2 linked regions of the Drosophila melanogaster genome follow. The protein of the gene in region 1 interacts with the protein of each later gene in a pairwise test. Each region holds a gene or a part of one and is shown on either strand. Other genes may lie near its edges.

Region 1 (3,229 bases):
TGCAGCTCCTCGTTGAGCGTGGGCTTGCTCTTGCGGTGGCGCCGATGATTCTTTTGCTGACGCCGGGTTTCGCCCACCACCTCGGCGAAGGCGGTGTTGTCCTGGAACTGCGGGTGCTTCTTGGTGTGCTTTAGAACGTGCTCGTAGATGAGCAGCCGCTGACTCGCGTCGAGTCCTGCCTGCAGATCATCAAAGGAGGCAGCAGGAAGGAGGCGTCGTGCTCTTTCGGTGCCCACAATGCCCTGAATAGTCGAGTCATCGAGCTGGATGCTAAAGTCGGGATTGTTGCTGCATGACGCCGGCAATGGCAATGGCTCTAACACCTCCGATTTAGTTGCGCCGTTTTTGTCCTGTGGTCTGTGGCTACCCGCCCCCATCACCCCGCGCTCGCTCCAACCGAAGCGCTGCAGGATGACGTGGAGACGCCTCCTGCTGGCTGTCACAAAAAGACGCAGCTGTTCTCGCTTCTCGTCCACATCTTCGCCAGACATTTTTAGCCAGCGCGAAACAGAACAGAACAGAACAGCAAGTGTTGGGAAAGCCCGAAATGTGCGGCCAGTGCTGCAGAACGCAGCGTGTATTTACAGTCCTAGAAAGTTTGGAATATCTAATCTATGGTGCCATTCGGCTCCTGGAGGGGATGCGGGATGCAGGAGCTCAGCTCCAAAAGAGAACGGTGAAGGCCATGATCAGGCAGGCGGCTCCTACCCACGGCGACTTGCGCTCCCCAATCCTTGCCAGCTTCCAGAAGGTGCCCATGAATCTGCAAACAGACAGCAGACGAGTGTTGAGTGTGGTAACAATCAGTGGACTGGTCAGGGCGGGAACGGGCACCTACCCGGTCTTGTTGCGGTCTATCAAGCTGGGGAAGAGCGAGCGCAGGTAGGCACAGGTGCAGATCAGCAGCAGGATGACCGACAGCAGGCTGTGGAAGTTGAACAGGGCGCTCTGTGGAGGGAAACGGTGCTAAGTGTACGACGGAGGAGTATCGGTTAGGTGAGCGTTTCAAACCATGATTTAGCAAATCGAAATCCGTGCTTGGCGATAGAATAACAACAAGCGGTAAACTAGTGACGTGCCAGCCGCTCGGCGCAGGCGAACTGGTTCCAAAACTGGAATCTCACGTTTCGACTGATTCGATAGGTGGTTAATCAACTGTTAGAATGATAAGGAATGTTACAATGTTTAGGAGTTAATATAAGAATATATTTATATTAAATACATATTTTGGCGACCTACTTCCATTATCTGGGATGGACATTGGATAAATATTTTACAATAGAAAGTAACAAGCTCTTAGCCAAGTTCCCACAGGGAGCATAAAAACGCCATAGGAAGTATTGAAAAGTGCAAGAGTTTACAAAAGACATCGTATACAAAAAAACGTAAGCTTAATTTCGATAGTATCGGAACTTGTATTGCAATCCAACCGTGGGTCAAGTAAATGAAATAAGATAAGACTTTGTTTCAATTAACGTTGGCAGTGGAGCTTCCCCCAATTGAAATATGTGCCAATGGAATCGGGCTATTAGGTCAAGTGAATTCAATCGACTGGCGCGGAACAGCAATCGATGGGTCCACACTTATCGCACATAGTATCGCATAAACATCGACGCAGTGGGCCACCTCTAGCAATTTGTCTGCAACTTCTAATTCGCTGCGGGTATTTTTTTTGTGTTTGTTGTTACATATAATCCGATCAATTTCGATCGCCCGCTTGGCAAATCAGTGTCTTGCTGTTCCGATTGGTGAGCTTTGGCCAATTCTCGGCGAGCGTCAGTAAATCGTTCGATTTGGCTTTAAGTCCGCCCGTGCTTTTGCGTTTTCCTTGGCTCTTTTCTTCATTTTTGTGGCCCGTTTTCGTTTTCCACTTGGTATCGCGAGGGGATGAAGGAGGGGAGCAGGAGCGGAGAATCCCGACCGAGTGCATCCCCAATGTGTGTGCGTGTACGTCTGTGAATACGATGGTGCTGCCAATGCAATTGTAACTGAGCGCGCTCATAAAAATCAAAAGTATATTTAGATATACATGTACATATATATAATAATCGGATACGTTTTCTCATTGCCCCCCCTGTCGGTGTGTGTGCGTGTGTATTTAAATCAGTAATACAGTGTGTGTGTGACGAGCGCGCTGGGTTTTGTTGTTAAGTGCGAGTGAGTAAGAGAGAGGGAACACGAGCGAGACAGCAGCCGGAGCAACAGAGAGGCAAACAGGAACTGCAACAAGAAAAACAATAACATTCTGTGGCAGCAGCAGCAGCGATGACTTCCAGTCGCTGCACTGGCAAAGCGGTAAGTTCCCGACTGCAATATTAAGCTAAGCTATGATCCGCGAATCGGTTCCTTGCATGTGTATTTATGTAAGTACACACACACACCCGCACGCGCGCCAAACACACGCACTTGCGTGTATCGTTGACGTCGGCGATTACAGCACTGTTAGCTGCTAACAGCACAGTGACGGCCACTCGCATAGATCCGCGCCAAAGTTATCGGAGTGCCCCACTCGAGGGGCGGTAAATCGTGAGTGAAAAGTGTAAAATACAAACAGTATATGCTCTTTTAACCCCACCCCCAATTTTAAAGTGCTACGGTTTAAAGTGCTGCGAACCGGAGGTGAGTTGCATTATTATATCCTCTTCCAGTGCTTTCATGACACATTCACCCATGGACCTACACCCGCGAACACCAAAACACTACGCACATGCGCAGAGCGGCCACCGACACCGATAACACACCAATGCAATGCAAAAAAGTCGCGCTCTAGTGTGCGCTCTTTATTTTTGTTTTTAGTTTCGCTCCACTCTGCCTTCTGTATTCATCGGGTGCATTTATTGTTATCGGTTTCTCTTCCAGCAAAGTCGGTAATCGCTGCGTGTGCCTCGATTCGTAAACGGTAAACAAGCAATATTTTGTTTTTCATGCTGATTATCATGTTGATGAATGAAGGAGCATTTACGCAATTGTTTTGTGAATTTTCCGCTGTACACTGAAAGATTCTCTTTGTGGTTTCTCCATCTCCCTCGCTCTCTCTCGCTGGCCGATGGCCCACCACACAGGCATTCACACACACCACCACCGCGCGCACACACACACATTTACAGTAGGCCGCCATTGCTCTGCTGCGCAGCTTTTACAGTGTTGCATTCTGCCGCGCAGTGTTGTTGCTGCCGTGAAAGCTTTTTCGGCCCTTGTTGTGTGCCCATCTTTCGTTTTGTACAGATGT
Region 2 (3,756 bases), about 17 Mb from region 1:
CGCATTAGGAACTGTGACCTGGTAATAAATGTTTTCGGTGCAGATATCGAACTGAAGACGTAGGGATTTGTGCGCACTCTCATTGTTTGTTGTTTGCTGCGGATTGTGTGAAGAACACGATAGTTTATGGCTATCTAAACATGGGCCCGTGCGTGTGCGTATGCGTATAGGCGTATATGTAAGTACGCCGGAGAAGTTTACATTAGTCTGGATCTCTGGATCCGAATTCGAATCCGAAGCGGGCGTCGATTGGCGTTCGAATCGTATTCACAATCATATCAAGAATGGTTGATGAGTGGGGGGGGGGGGGAGGTCTTAGTTTCCACTTTTATGCCCATCCCGCAGGCATTTCCAAGTACAGTGGTGGGCGCAAGGATAGTGCACTTTTAATTTCTTAAAAAATGATGGGATTATACGTTTAGATTAAGCTCGATAAAGCCTTGTATTGTTTTATGAAAACGCATGTTTTCGCAAGTACGAGGATGAGCCATATGTTTCGTTATCACGTATTGTATTCCATCCAGTTCCTAGGATCTTAAACTTAAAAATTTCTCGTCATTTAAGTGAATGCGATATGGCGCTATAATTATATTAATTTCCTCAAGAACTGAATGTTATTTTCTTGGGTAGTCGGCTGCAATTCCCGGACTATTGGCCTGCATGAAAACAAACAACGTATTCGTATTCGTGCCGTTGCCAAAGAGTTTTCCCTAGAACCGCCTGTTTTTCTTTTCAAAAGGCAAACAATACTCAATTCGACCCAACAGACGACCCGCACTCTGACCCTCGGAAAAGTAGAGAGGTTTCCCCCGGCATATTGGCTTGATTAATTAAGACTACATATGTACGCTGACGTCGTGTGACACCAGGCTTCCGGGGTTTGACTCATTATTCGAAACGGGTTATGAGAGCGTGAAAAACGCATAGTCTCGAGTTATGATTCAGGATTAATCGCCCATGACTGGAGTATTCATTCTACGCACAAATTCGATCTATAGGCATATTTATTCGAATGAGTCCCTCTCGCAAAAGTTTTGCTTTTTTTTTCAGTTCCTCGCTTCGAATGGATGCCGCCCATTTATTATCCAGAAAATTGCCAGAGGAAACTATGCAACCACACACACAAACACACACACACATGCACACGACCCAGGAACCGAAAAGTTTTTCATTTCAAAAATGCCGGAGAGGTGCGTATGGCCCGAAATCAGGGCTACGAATAGACTCGATTCATCTGTAGGAGCTTATTCATTGTATTCCCAATATATTCATGTAACCTCTGGCACACCGAATTTTTTAAGCATCCAAGACGTATCGGTCAAGGTATCAATTAAGGAGGGGAACTTCTTACTTCATTGCAAGTGATAAGTCTTGAATTGTGTTAGCAATGCAGATAACTTTCCCCATGCTGCTCATGACTTATATTCCACCAGACTGATGCAAAGACTAGTCTAATGCAAGTATGTATGTTCTGGCTGTCGGAATGCTCAAGTATGTAGCTAAAACGTCGAACCATTTTGGGCAATGGTATCCCTGGTCTAGTATCTGAAACTTTGAAAAACGGCAACAACAGCAACATGACCCCGTCAGAATATCGACGAAAGAGCGAAAGAGTCGAGTGGATTGGGGCGGAATGGGGCGGGAAGGGCGGTTAAGAAACAACACCGAATAGGAACAATGTAAACAAAGCGCCCATTCCACACGCAAATTACCAAATTACCCGATGATGAAGTCAATTGTTGTATACAATAAAAATGTGTGTTGTTGCTGCTGTTGCTGCTCTGAGATTCTTTTGTTTTCCTTTTTGAAAGTTTTTCTAGTTCGCCTGCTGTTTTTTTTTTTTTTCTCAATATTTTGTACGCTTGGCTGGCGGCGACTGCCTTCGGGCCCACTTTTTGGGTGGGAACCATGTCGGTGTATGGATGCGGAGAATTCAGTTTTAGTACAAATTCGGCGCAGGAACGAGCAACGCGTCTTTTGCCGAACACAAAGTGCCGCGCGATGTTCCCACCAAAATCCGGACCAACTCCGCATCCGATCTCGATAGCGCTGCCTCTTTCGGATCCCTATGCTACTGATCACATGGCGGATCAGGACGCGGTGTTGCCGGTACCCCTTTCCGACAGCCTGGACCTGGACGTGGACGTGGACCTCAATCTGAATATGAATCTTAATCTCAATGTAGACGACAGGCGCCAGGTGCTCTTCGAGGGCTATTCGGACGAGCTGCTGACCATCGCCTGGGTGGCCTGCATAGTGTTCATCATTGTGGGCGTTCCCGGAAATTTACTGACCATAGTGGCCCTGTCGCGAGGTCGTCAAACCCGCAACTCCACGGCCATATTCATAATCAATTTGTCCTGCTCGGATCTACTCTTTGGCTGCTTTAATCTGCCATTGGCCGCGTCCACTTTCAAGGAGCGGGCGTGGACCCATAGTGATCTGCTGTGCAGGTTGTTTCCGATGCTGCGCTACGGCTTGCTGGCGGTGTCCCTGCTCTCCGTGTCGCTGATCACCATCAACCGGTACATCATTATCGCCCATCCCAGGCAGTATCCAAGGTGAGAATGGGCCTGCCCATATCGGCATGTCCTGCCTAAATCTTGAAGGGTATTCAGAGTGCCCAACTCTTCCTCTTGGTGCTTATCTGTTTATTATGATACGCATGGTAACCTACCACTTAATCTGAGAAAAAAACCCACACATATGTTATTGTGTTTCTGAACTTATAAACTTTTGAACTTGTTTATAAAAAGGAAAATGTATGGCTTCTCGTAGATGTTTTTTAATTAACTAAAAAAGAGAACATTACTTGCTAGAGGCAAATGCTATAGAAAAGGTCGGTTCAGCGATCTCAATATTTTCGTAATAAACAATTAAACTGAACGGAAATTAATATCTTATAAAATATGAACTACAATATTTCTGGAGAAATAAATAACTAGCTAGTTTTTATTTTCGTGAGCTACGGATATCTTAAAATAATATATTTGAATACAATGAGCATATATTATTATCAAATTAGACATGGTACAAAATACAATTCCCACTGGTTCAAATCCGTTCTTCCAGAATTTACCAGCGACGATATTTGGCTTTGATGGTAGCCGGCACATGGATCACCACGTTTTCCATAATGATACCCACCTGGCGGGGCGTATGGGGTATCTTTGGCTTGGACGTCAGCATCGGCTCGTGTTCCATCATGCATGATCGGTATGGTAGATCCCCCAAGGAGTTCCTCTTCATCGCCGCCTTCATGGTGCCGTGCATCTGCATCGTGATCTGTTATGCCCGAATCTTCCTGCTGGTGCGAAAGGCGGCCATTCGCGCGGGAACCGCTGGCAAGACCAATGTCAGCGATGTGACTCCCAGCTCCGCGCCGCAGCATCAGATTCAAGCCATGGCCACACCAAAGAAGCCGGAGAAGGTGACCACGTCCAGCGGCGAGGCGAACGAACCGATCGCAGGACGACCCTTTGTGGTGGAGGAAAACTTAGCGTATATCGATGACAATGCTTCGACGGACAGTCTGCCGATCTCGTACAGCATACGGAGGAGGGATCAGGACCAGCAGCCACCGCCTGTTGATGCCAATGTGGTGCTCAAGGAGCGGGAGAAGGAAAGGGATCGGGATCAGGAAAAGGTCAGCCTGGGACGCAGTCAAACGCAACTAGAGATGGGCAAAACCCATGGGTGAGTAGCTGTTGAAGGCTTCTTTGCCATTTCACTCAACCTTAATGCGTAAATCCATTC

What was found. Proteins that work in one complex are often made in the same cells at the same time.
Region 2: the proteins of ksh (region 1) and CG4313 interact in a two-hybrid assay, tested with the Drosophila melanogaster proteins (one large-scale study listed by BioGRID).

The regions. Positions count from the first base shown.
Region 1 is NC_004354.4:19,493,889-19,497,117, forward strand, and holds ksh (kish), read right to left. Parts: upstream 1,105-3,229; 5' UTR 1,015-1,104; coding exon 1,012-1,014; intron 949-1,011; coding exon 839-948; intron 764-838; coding exon 658-763; 3' UTR 532-657; downstream 1-531. Other genes in the region: CG12204 (uncharacterized protein), read right to left, coding at 1-491.
Region 2 is NC_004354.4:2,050,745-2,054,500, forward strand, and holds the start of CG4313 (uncharacterized protein), read left to right. Parts: upstream 1-1,939; 5' UTR 1,940-2,001; coding exon 2,002-2,561; intron 2,562-3,072; coding exon 3,073-3,696; intron 3,697-3,756.